3 linked regions of the Arabidopsis thaliana genome follow. The protein of the gene in region 2 purifies or fractionates together with the protein of the main gene of each other region. This does not show direct contact. Each region holds a gene or a part of one and is shown on either strand. Other genes may lie near its edges. The genes, in order: PFD1, PFD3 and PDF2.

The links.
Region 1: the proteins of PFD3 (region 2) and PFD1 fractionate together in Arabidopsis thaliana (co-fractionation; one large-scale study listed by BioGRID). This does not show direct contact.
Region 3: the proteins of PFD3 (region 2) and PDF2 fractionate together in Arabidopsis thaliana (co-fractionation; one large-scale study listed by BioGRID). This does not show direct contact.

The regions. Positions count from the first base shown.
Region 1 is NC_003071.7:3,043,919-3,047,442, reverse strand, and holds PFD1 (PREFOLDIN 1), read right to left. Parts: upstream 1,921-3,524; 5' UTR 1,800-1,920; coding exon 1,776-1,799; intron 1,667-1,775; coding exon 1,613-1,666; intron 1,402-1,612; coding exon 1,296-1,401; coding exon of another isoform or gene 1,292-1,295; intron 1,217-1,291; coding exon 1,210-1,216; intron 1,130-1,209; coding exon 1,045-1,129; intron 948-1,044; coding exon 837-947; 3' UTR 539-836; downstream 1-538. UniProt on the Arabidopsis thaliana protein: Binds specifically to cytosolic chaperonin (c-CPN) and transfers target proteins to it. Binds to nascent polypeptide chain and promotes folding in an environment in which there are many competing pathways for nonnative proteins.
Region 2 is NC_003076.8:20,079,035-20,083,592, forward strand, and holds PFD3 (prefoldin 3), read left to right. Parts: upstream 1-1,565; 5' UTR 1,566-1,694; coding exon 1,695-1,840; intron 1,841-2,006; coding exon 2,007-2,064; intron 2,065-2,146; coding exon 2,147-2,218; intron 2,219-2,813; coding exon 2,814-2,933; intron 2,934-3,021; coding exon 3,022-3,123; intron 3,124-3,332; coding exon 3,333-3,422; 3' UTR 3,423-4,008; downstream 4,009-4,558. Other genes in the region: AT5G49500 (Signal recognition particle, SRP54 subunit protein), read right to left, coding at 497-651, 740-844, 942-1,172.
Region 3 is NC_003074.8:7,965,919-7,970,229, reverse strand, and holds PDF2 (prefoldin 2), read right to left. Parts: upstream 2,242-4,311; 5' UTR 2,012-2,241; intron 1,653-2,011; exon of another isoform or gene 1,412-1,652; intron 1,164-1,411; 5' UTR 1,151-1,163; coding exon 704-1,150; 3' UTR 525-703; downstream 1-524. Other genes in the region: AT3G22490 (Seed maturation protein), read left to right, coding at 1-191, 281-445; AT3G22470 (Pentatricopeptide repeat (PPR) superfamily protein), read left to right, coding at 2,305-4,164.

The sequences.
Region 1 (3,524 bases), on a different chromosome or scaffold from region 2:
TATTGCTCACATGCTATTGATGATTGATCAACTTGAGTTTTAACTATTGTTTCACTGAATTCATAATATATATTACATCTACTTGTGTTTAGATTGTGAGGTTAAATTTATATATATTCACAATGTTAGATGCAATCTCGAGTTGTAGTCTTTTTTTTTTTTTTTTTTTGTCAAAAGTGTGTTTTATTTAGTATAGAAAGCCAAAGTAACATGCCAATATTTTACAAACACTAAACCAAGGAAGCCAAACAAAAGAAAACAAAGTCCAATAAGAAAGCTGAAGGAAAAGCTTAAATGCATTATATTAGACATGTGGCAAGCAGGAAGCAGGTTAGAAGACACATGCAAAGTTGAAGATGTGAGAGTCTCCGTTGATCAGAAAGCTTCAATTCCGGCCAAGATCGCCGGAAAATTATTCAATCGACTTATCCTAATCTTCCCTCAAGAAACAAAGCGAATTCCATTTTAGCAACAAATACCCGAAATATGAGCCGAATCACACCGAAAACAGAGCCAGACCACACCGGAAACAAAGTCTTCTCATCCGGACAACGAAAGCCGGTAAGCATACCGAACGGTGGAACAAGGATTGAGTTTTCTCTCCGAAGAATCATAGAGAGACCTCATCCTTGTTAAAATTTTTGTTTTCGAGTTAGATAGATCATGCATTTGTTGTCGCATAAGAAATCTCAGTTTTTTGCAATATCATAGACCAGAGGCTTTAAAACAATACTGATCGAACAAAAACTTTTGAATGTTACAACTTTTAACTAGAACATGTTATGGTTTCAATCCCAAAAGCTCTCCAAACTCAAAGGTTTGGGATAATACAAAAGTTACATAGACATGGACATAATCTGTTGAGCAATGCCCGGTTCTTGCTGCAACAGCTCCCTCAAGTTGTTCTCAACCTCTGCTACCTGCTTCTCCAAGTATTCCTTGGATGTCTAAAAATCATCCCGAAAACAAAACATGTTTGATAACCAGCATCTCAATGATCTCCTAATAACCCAATAAGATGTTGAAAGAGGGAATGATTGTTACCTGTAGAGAAGCAACGGCAGCTTCACTGTCCTTGAGTTTTTGCTCTTGTTCACCCTCCAGCACTGTCTTGGGCTCTAGAACAAACCTGTTCACCATACAAACTATAATCAGCCTTCAAAATTCTCTAAAGGCCTCTAGTTGGACTGACTAATAACCACCACTCACGTTCTTCCTGAAAACAAGAATAAAACACAAATTAGACCAAAACTTTACTAGTCCTTGTCTCAAAACCAGAGAATTGAATCACTTGCCTATTGACTTGTAGGTGTTTGTCTCTTCAGGCAATGGCCTCAGCTCCTCCAAGGTTAAGAAAGCTCGCTTTCTATCTCCCTCTTTGTTGCGCATCTGATTCTGCACCTATATATAAAACCCATCCACATTCACATTTCAGTTTTTCAGCACCACATGACAATAACCTAGGAAAGCCAATTTTGTCATTACACAACATGAAAGAAGGGATTATAAAACCAAACACAGTTCAAGAACTAACAAATTACAAGTAAACCCTTATACAATGTGTCACGTTTGATTCTAAAACTTGATAAATACAAAGAAAGTGAGGATTCACCTGTTTGAGCTTCCCAGTGAGTTCAATCATGCTAGCTTGAATCTCCATAAAAGCCTGTTGTAACTATACACATTACAATTCCATTTTCTGCAACATCTTACTGGGGAAAGAAGAATATTCCACTAGAAAATTGAGCTGATTTAAGAGAGAGAGAGGTACTCACAGCTCTGGTTGCTTCGTCCGCCATGTCTGCAGATCTTGATCTTTGAACGAACCCCGACGTGCTAGAGAAGGGTCTTTCGTTTTAGGGTCAAAAAGTTAGAACTACCCGGGTCGGGTTTCAGACGGCTTAGCCCGGTTTATCAAGGCTTTATTGGGTCAAATCGGCCCATTTATAATTAACGATGATTTTATACTTTTAAAAAAATATGTGTTTGCATTGGAACAAACAATTCTACCCAATAACACAATTTAATTTACCCATTTGGTTTTAGATTGTACCATGATTTTGTAAATCAAAGACTCAAAGTCATTGTCTTTTTTTTCTTGTATAATCAACCACCCAAACCATTGTTTGTATCGTAACCAATTCAGCTAACACCACCAAATTATTTTACCATATTATATTTTAAGGGTGATTTGCATTATCATACACTTTCGAAAACATGTTGAGCAAAAGTTTTGCCGACAGGCACACTTCTGATCAATTATAAGGGTGATCAATTATAAGGGGGAAAAAGACTTAATTGACCCTATTAATTAAATCAAGTAAAATCGGTTATTTAGGGTAAGAGTTTGGGGAAACCGGTTTATTTTGTTTTTGCAAACCGGAGAAAGCATGGAACGAATAACTATGTCATCGAAGTTTGAATGACGATGAACAAAAGAAAGAGAAGCTCTGAAGTTTGAAGCAACTAACAAAGATATCATAACGATGGTAAGAAAAAATGGATTGGTAACAATAGTAGAAAATATTCGCTGATATATTATTGACTGTCTAAGATAAAAAATTTATATATTGCAGGGAACTGAGGATGGCTTCTGTTATGTAATATGCGGGGATTGGAATTGCGAGGAGGATGAGAAGTGGTATGTTGAGGTTAATAAGGTAATGAAATCTCGAATTGTGCCTGTATATAAAGGTATTAAGCTATCAGAATTCGTGGAAGCCATTAGAGTAGAATTTGGAATTTCAACGAGTACGAAGGTTGATTTAAGCTTCTGTACCCCAAATATAAGAGATTTTACCACCGGAGATAAAACACCACCGGTCGTCGTGACGACTGATGTGGGGCTAAGTTATTTTATGAAGATATTGGAAGCAAATGTTGGAACCAACATGTTTGTAAAGTTTGGAACATCTTGTAAAAGAGTTTTAAACAATTCTGAGGTTGACGGTGGGCTAGTGAAGACCAGTTCAGTTAAGGAAGATGACGGAAGAGGGAATAAGTCGAAACGTTTATGTGGATCAGAAGATAGTATATCGAAGGTCGGGTTGAAAGAATTTTTGCTGTCCTCCGAAGATGAAGAATTTGTTGCAGAACTTGAAACTATAGAAAGAGTTATAGGTTGTGAACGAGGTCCTCTTGTTAGTGAAATTTTATCTGAAGATCTTGATGATGAAGATCTAGTGGATGAAGGAAGCGAAGATCTTACTTGGGATGAGATTATAGAAGTAAAACCCCAATCTTATGATGTGGAGTTTTGGAGCCCATTCTTGGATGAGGACATGGGTGGCTCAAATGCATTGGATATAATATGTGTCGGGGAAGAAGATGCTGATGTTAGAATGGGATTTGCGTCACCAACAGTAGACACAGAATTGGTGGCCAGTGTGGAAGGTGCAGGTTCGAACATGGAAATTGATGATTTGATAACGTCTTCGATTAAGCATCCAACTGATTTACTTGCAAACAGCAGTGGAACGGGAAAAGTTGTTAACAATAGAACAGGTGATTGTAATACAAATGAA
Region 2 (4,558 bases):
ACAGTATGCCCTGGCTAATGGTTTCAATCCATAAGAGTTTTTTATTTTATATATATTTCGTCATGTTATTGACATTGAAGTAAAACCAAATTGACAAATTGCAAAATAGAAACAGAAGATAACACAAGACCTCAAAATATCCATTTATGTATACTGTACAAATCTATGAAAAAGACGTGAGATCCCTTGTTACAGTGGCACTGTAAAATGAATACCGAAAAAAGAGCGCAAAGAAAAAACTGGCAAAAGGGATTTAAAGGTAACTGGAGAGGGATATATTCAGTAACCGTAGTGGCGTAGTCCTCGAGTGTAAACCAAACAATTTCATAAATGGTGTACCATGGCTCTACCGTCAAAAATAAAATTACATCACTTTTGTACGTGAGCTAATATATTTGGAAATGCAAGCACCAAAGGTCTTCCAAGCACGCAGGAAGAAAGCTAATAACTAAGATATAAGATTTTTTAACACTGCAAAAAGGGTTGATGTCAGTACCTTCCATAATAGGGGATCTTAGATTTGGTGGCATTCTGTTTCAGCTGATCAAAAGCACCTGCCCTGAAAGTATCCGCACACACTAGAGCTGGTTTGTACCCTTTTCTTCTGATGATAATAAGCATACTTGGTACAAGTTGTGGTTTTTCCAGCACCTAACACACAGTCAAAAAGTTTTGGACGATTTTAACAATGAATTTACAACTACACAAAAGCATAGCATCTTACAGAGAGATCAGATACCTCACCTTGTAATCCGACGAACATAACTACACTAGGTTTGGCCTTTTTGGGAGCAAATGCAGACTTTCCTGGATCCAACATCTTACAGAGTTCACTGAAGATCGCCTGAAAGAGAATCATAAGAACTTAATCACAAAAAAAAAAAAACGTAAACCTATTTAATCGAAATTAGACATGCAGAATCTGCGGTAAAGCCTAAGACCTGCTCAATGATACGACGCTTGTTATGGCCGGCTGCTAGATCCTCAAGGTTGACGATTTTCTTAATATTGGTCTGCATCTCCTTCACAAGGGGGAAAGAAACATCGGACTGGAGCAGAGCACGAGTGATCTCGTTCAAGCAATCATTCAGAGCCTTTTCATCGATTATTGTCACATTGTTCATCTTCTGTATGGCGCTCATAATCCGACCTCCAAGCTCCGCCAACACCATTTTCGCTGCTCTCTGTATTCTTCTACCTCAAATTAGGTTGATCTATATATCTGTTGTCGGATTTTGGAAGATCTAGCGAGACGGGAGAAGCTGAGTATCTTTTTTTTTTTTTGGGGGTCAAACATTGAGTATCTTAGATTCATTTCTATATTCTAAAAAATTATAAACCGGTTAGGATCAAAACGATGGGCTTAACATAGCTCCATAGGCCCAATAGTAAGTTGTTCCCCTACTGAATTGAATTAGAACCAAATAAGTGCTAAACCAATGGTACAATTTTCAAAAAAATTCATCGTGAATACGGAACCGGCCTAATTAATTTACAAAACCGCGTCCGTCTTCAATAGTAATGGGCCTGCGAGGCCTTTTTATCCCCTTCTTAAAAAACGACGGCGTTACACTACTCTAATTCCGACTACGGACGCCGTGTCGGAGTCGTCAGATTCGAAAAACATACAAAACCAAGTCGAAGCTTTTAAAACCCTAAATCCCCAAATCGGGAACTGAGATTCCGATTCGAAGATGTCGTCGTCTTCTCCGAGTGGAAGCGGTAGTGATTTGACTGAGAGAAGAGGGATCCCTGCCGCCAAATTCATCCAAGATGTGGAGACTTATCTCTCTCAGTCTGGTCTCGATCCTAACTCTGCTCTCGCCTTTCACCAAGAAAGGTTTCTCCTCTTTCTAGTTCTCATTTTCACTCTGAAAGTCTACTCATTTATCTGAGTGTGTTCTTCTTAAGCTCAAATCCCAGATCTCCTACGGATTTATAATCAATTGAATCCAAAATCATTACTTGTGATTAATCCTTTATGGTTTCTCTTTCTATGGTTTTAGGCTTCAGCAATATAAAGTTGTTGAGATGAAGCTTCTTGCTCAACAAAGGGATCTTCAGGTTCACTTGTTTCTAGTTTATGTATGATGCTTTTAAGTTATCTCTACTTGATGATATCTCACTAGTGTTGGTAAATGTGTAGGCTAAAATCCCAGATATTGAAAAGTGTTTAGAGGTTGTTGCTACTTTGGAAGCAAAGAAGGGTACTGGTGAGGTTCGTCGTTGTTCATTTTCATTTTGTTTAGCTTTGATGTTATGATCAGTGTCTTGCTACTGTTTTTGAGATGGATTGTGAGTATATATAAATGTAGAAACATTGTTATTTAAACTTTTGAATCCAGAATCCAGAGTTTTTATTCCATAATGTTGAACTTTGTTGTGCTTTGATTTCTTACCAATCTTTGAATGCAAGCTTTTGTGTTCATGTGAAGATATTTTCTTTTCTCTTCTGCGCGAGTCAGTCTTACTTGCAACATTTCCTTAGAATCTCATAAGCCTACTTGCATTTGAAAGTCTGTTTTTGAAGATCGAGATTGATTGGTTGAAAAGACAATGTCGAAATCACTAATCAGAGTTCTTATTTATTCCTATGGCCCCTTAAATTAGTGTTAAGTGGTGTTTGATGGTGACAGCAGAACATGTTGAGTTCTTGCTTCACTGGAAGAATCAGTGAATCGCTGACACAGAGATTGTAGTGGGCACGATGTTTTGTCTTTCCTATATGAAAGTGTCTTTGGTTTTTAGACTTACTGTTGATTCTTGTGTTCTTCATCATTATTTTCTCACATGGAATTCTTCTTACAATGCAGGCGCTCTTAGCTGATTTTGAGGTGTCTGAAGGAATATATTCACGGGCCTGCATTGAAGACACAGACTCAGTGTGTTTGTGGTTGGGAGCTAATGTCATGCTGGAATATTCCTGTGAAGAGGTCCATTACCCTAAAAACATATTCTATTCGCTATTTTAAATCTCCGGGACCATAGAATAAGTTCTTATAATCTTTGTTGTTCCAACAGGCTTCAGCTCTTCTGAAAAACAATCTGGAAAATGCTAAAGCCAGCCTGGAGGTTCTTGTAGCTGATTTACAGTTCTTGAGGGATCAAGTCACAGTTACTCAGGTACAGAGATACTTGTAAATTTATCTCATTTCATTTGAGTTAGCCCCTAATTCGTGAGAAGTTACATATAAGTAGGGGCCTGATCTTACTTTAACATAACTGTTAATTATCAAAAACCCAAAATTGCAATTTAGGCAACCTGTATTGTAGATACATACAAAGATTGAGTAAAGAGTAGTCTCTGACTAGGACTTTTTGGTGATCGACAGGTAACTATTGCACGTGTTTATAACTGGGATGTTCATCAAAGGAGGGTTAAACAAGTTACCCCTACTGCTATTGCTGTTGCAGATTCATGAACTAGAGATCCAAATTATAATCGTGTGGGCTTAAACGAGGTAATATGATTATTTGGACACCTTTTGCCTCAATCAGGTTGTTTGTAACTCTTAATCTTTGCTATCTTTATGAAATTTGTGTTGCTGCGACAAACCTATGAATAGAACATTAGCATTGTTATCATCGCTTGCCTTCCGTTTTTCGCTACATACCTGTGGAGTTTTGAGATCAGCTTGTGTTCCCCGCTATTGAAGTATTACTTTTGTAAGGGATGTTAGAGATATATCAAACTATTTGCAGAATCTGGTGGTCTTGACTAATGTCCCAACTTCCAAGTGTTCAGAAGATATGATTCTAGAAGTAAAAGGATGAGAAATTACTAAAAGTCAAGTTGTGTCATTTTCTCCGAAATTTTTATGTTCAATATTGGTGACGGCTTATACTTTTGGTTAGCAAAAAGTGGAAATGGGAAACAAAACGTGATCAAATCGAACCTTTTTATCAGCTTTTCTCATTTGTGCATATGCATTTAAAGGAATGAGATTCATTTTCTGAATATAACATCTTTTCTTGTCACTGATACGACGTTTTATAGTAAATCTTTTGGGAGGATTTAACCAACCATTATTAAAACAAACTCTTATTTGATGATTTGGTCATGATCTTTGCCATATTCAAATACTTTGGGTATAGGTTATTTTAGGCATCAATTTGGGTATCATGTTCTGTGTAATTCCCTTTAACAAGTTGAGAGTATTATTTATGATCGTTTTGATAAAGAATATTAGTACGAGAGAGCAAACAAAAATAGGGCATTCATCAACGGATTCTGCTTCCACTGCCATAGAAAATGAACCTCTCAATTAATGATGGTCCATATTTCACTTATTGACTTTCACTTCTTCTTCTTTTTTGACAACTTTTTATTTGTTTATCAATTTTATTTCCTTATTTTTCCTCCAAACATTTCCTTCATATTTGGCCTCTTTTAAACCACTCTTTGCACCAATATTTTTTAAACCACTCTTTACACCATTATTTTGAAATTATCTAATATCTATGACACTAACTTGATACATTGTACATCTAATTTCCGGAAAAACACTTCTTCATGATTATATACGATCTCGACATTGATGTATATTAGTGGTTGGTT
Region 3 (4,311 bases), on a different chromosome or scaffold from region 2:
CTGTGCAAACCGCTGGAAACAAACCGGTGGATCAAAGCGACGCAGCAGCGATTCAAGCGGCAGAGGTTAGAGCTTGTGGCACTAATGTGATTGCTCCTGGTGGAATCGCCGCTTCTGCTCAATCAGCAGCAAATCACAACGCTACCATAGACCGTGATGAGGATAAAATCAAGCTCATTGATGTTTTGGCGGTTAAACCCCAATTTTAAAAACATCTTCAATGTCTTAATGTTTTAGTTTTAAGATTGTCTAAATGTGTTTGAACCGGATGGCTTATTAGGGTGCGACCGGGAAGTTAGCCGCAGATAAAGCTGTGACCAGGCAGGACGCAGAGGGAGTGGTGAGCGCTGAGCTGAGGAACAATCCTAATTTGTCTACTCACCCTGGTGGTGTAGCGGCTTCTATTACTGCCGCCGCTAGGCTTAACGAGAGAGCTGATATATGAAAAATCCTGCGAGAGGGAGATGTTTTGGTTCTGTTGTTCAAAAAAGTTCAGTCATAATGTAAAAAAATGGTCACTTTCCGGTTATAAAGTTGAAATCTTTCTCTAGCACAACGGATCTACATAAATATGGCATTTCTCCAGTCTACTAGTTTTGTGACATTCAAAACATGTTGATTTTTTCCAGCAAAGTTTACGGCTTTTAACCATAAGATCCAAAAAAGAGATACAACAGTAAAACAAACTGCCAAATATAGAGTTTTACTGGCTTGAACTGGCAGCTCCAACAAGAACACCTTGAGCATTACCTTCCTTCTTGTTACCTCCTTCCTTGTTATCTTCTTGTTTCGTTATCCTGATCTTATACTTAGCTTCAAACTCTGTAAGATCTTTCTTCTTTTTCTCCAATGTCTCGTATAGCTTCCTCACAACCTCTTCAAGTCCGTCCTTGTTACGTTGGACAGCTGGTAGTACCTCTTTGATGGTTCTTTCGACAAGAACGCCTCCTATCATGCGGAAGCATTTCCTCGATTGGTCGAGAGGCTGAATGGCGTTAATGACCAGAGAATGTTCGCTCACTTGCATCTCGAGGTCGGTTATGTTGGAGTAGATTTGGCTTAGCTCTGATCTCTTGCCTTCATACATGTTCAAAACAGCTTGCTCATTCGGCGGTTCTCTTAGGCCACCGCTTCCAGATTTGCTGGCCATTACTTCGATCCTACTACAGAAATTAGATCCAAGAAATCACGAATTGCATAGTTGAAGCAAAAAATGAGAGTAAATCAATAAAGAAACTCAAACAACAACACTCAGAGAAACATTTGCATCTGACACAACTACGAACCGAAAAACACAATTGTTACAAAACAATTCCAAGCACATTGGAAAGAATACTAATCACTTAACCAATGCAGAGAACTATCTTACCTCAAGAATGATTCATACTTAATTCATTATTCTCTCAGAAGTTATAAAATACAAAACATGGTGAAGCATAAGGCTTTTACCAGATCAAGATCAATCCTACAATCATTCCATCACTATCTTGTCACGAACAATCACGCCCTTTTCCATCAAATAGATCTAAATACTACAACAGCCACATCTAAACCAATGACATAGCTTATCCTTCAGAATCCATCAGTCTCATAGCATCAAATACACTTATACAAGTAGAAGCAACCAACACAGAACATTCCACAAAGTAGACGTATATGAGTTCACTAACAGTGTATCATCTCCTACATAATACTCCAATCTCAAACTATGGCAACAGAGACTCAAACATAGAAACGATAACAACAACCAATTTAACATCCTTTTCAACAATCAGGGCTATTTCTCCAAACTAGGGTTTCAACGTCTACTTATATCAACTCTCAACACATATATTCCATGATCTAAGCTAATTTTCTAACATTAACGAAGCTTGATTGGGATCTAAGAAGTCTCAGTGAAAATTTCTACGATTCCAGAGCTAGATTCTGTTTACTCCGAGATCGATATCGACACAAATCTTAAGACCATTTGAACCACAAAAAAAAATCAACAACTAACAAAAATACTTACTTTCAGAAACGAATCCACACACGAGGAAGAAGATCGAAGAAGAAGAAGCTTCGCTTGAGAGGAAACAATCGAGAGAACGATGGAAGCAAACGCGGCGCAGAGAGTGAGGAAGATGAAGAAACAAGGTTGGGTTTAACTCGTACCTTTCCCAATTAAAACCGCTTTGATTTTTAAATCAAAACATTGAACCGGGTTTAAATATATGAATGAATCAAAACCGGAATTTTCATTTCCTTCTTCTTCTCTTCTCTCTCACACAGCACAAAGGACCAACGATTCATTCATTGAAGAAGATGATACAGAGATTGATTCCTCTAAATCGAAAAGCTTCGAACTTTACTCAGATTCTTGAGAAAGGTACTTCTTTATTACACTATTCTAGTATCACCGAAGCGAAGCTTTCTTATAAAGAGAGATTAAGGAATGGGATTGTTGATATTAAGGTTAATGATGCTATTGATCTCTTCGAATCCATGATTCAATCTCGTCCTTTACCTACTCCAATCGATTTCAATAGATTGTGTAGTGCTGTTGCTAGAACGAAACAGTATGATTTAGTGTTAGGTTTCTGCAAGGGAATGGAGTTGAATGGGATTGAGCATGACATGTATACTATGACCATTATGATCAATTGCTATTGTAGAAAAAAGAAACTTCTTTTCGCATTTTCTGTTCTTGGGAGAGCTTGGAAGCTTGGGTATGAGCCTGATACAATCACGTTTTCGACTTTGGTTAACGGGTTTTGCCTCGAGGGTAGAGTTTCTGAAGCGGTTGCGTTAGTTGATCGGATGGTGGAAATGAAGCAAAGACCGGATCTTGTAACCGTTAGCACTCTGATCAATGGACTTTGTCTAAAGGGTAGAGTGTCTGAAGCTTTGGTTTTGATTGATAGGATGGTTGAGTATGGTTTTCAACCTGATGAGGTTACTTATGGACCGGTTTTGAATAGACTGTGTAAGTCAGGGAACTCTGCTTTGGCTTTGGATTTGTTTAGAAAGATGGAAGAAAGAAATATCAAAGCTAGTGTTGTTCAGTATAGTATTGTTATTGATAGTCTTTGTAAAGATGGGAGCTTTGACGATGCGCTTAGCCTTTTCAATGAGATGGAGATGAAAGGGATTAAAGCTGATGTTGTTACGTATAGTTCTCTTATAGGAGGTCTTTGTAACGACGGTAAATGGGATGATGGTGCAAAGATGTTGAGGGAGATGATTGGAAGGAATATCATTCCCGATGTTGTCACATTTAGTGCTTTGATTGATGTTTTTGTGAAAGAGGGGAAGCTTCTAGAGGCTAAAGAGTTGTACAATGAGATGATCACAAGAGGTATAGCTCCTGACACCATTACATATAATTCATTAATTGATGGGTTTTGTAAGGAGAATTGCTTACATGAGGCTAATCAGATGTTTGATCTGATGGTTAGCAAAGGGTGCGAACCTGACATCGTGACTTATAGTATTCTCATAAATAGCTACTGCAAAGCTAAGAGAGTTGATGATGGTATGAGACTTTTTCGTGAGATTTCTTCGAAAGGATTGATTCCTAATACAATCACTTATAACACTCTTGTCCTAGGGTTTTGTCAATCGGGAAAACTTAACGCCGCCAAAGAACTCTTCCAAGAGATGGTTTCTCGTGGTGTGCCACCAAGTGTTGTAACTTATGGTATTTTGCTGGATGGTTTGTGTGACAATGGTGAACTAAATAAAGCATTGGAGATATTTGAGAAAATGCAGAAGAGTAGGATGACTCTTGGTATTGGTATCTATAATATCATCATTCACGGGATGTGCAATGCTAGTAAGGTCGATGATGCTTGGAGTTTATTCTGTAGCCTCTCTGACAAAGGAGTGAAACCTGATGTCGTGACATACAATGTAATGATTGGAGGACTATGTAAGAAAGGCTCGTTGTCTGAAGCCGATATGCTGTTTAGAAAAATGAAGGAGGATGGGTGTACTCCGGATGATTTTACGTACAACATTCTTATCAGGGCACATCTTGGAGGTAGTGGTCTAATCTCTTCAGTTGAACTCATAGAAGAAATGAAGGTGTGTGGGTTCTCTGCAGATTCTTCCACCATAAAGATGGTTATTGATATGTTATCAGATCGTAGATTGGATAAAAGCTTTTTGGATATGCTTTCTTGATTGTCTAATCTGATCTACAAGAGATAAAGAAAATATTTTTGTTTGTAATTCCAAATCACTAAAATATTGTACCAAGCTTGGGGCTATTTATAAAGTAGATGTAGTTGTCCTCTCGTCACTGTTTTTGATCACACAAGATTTCAAATA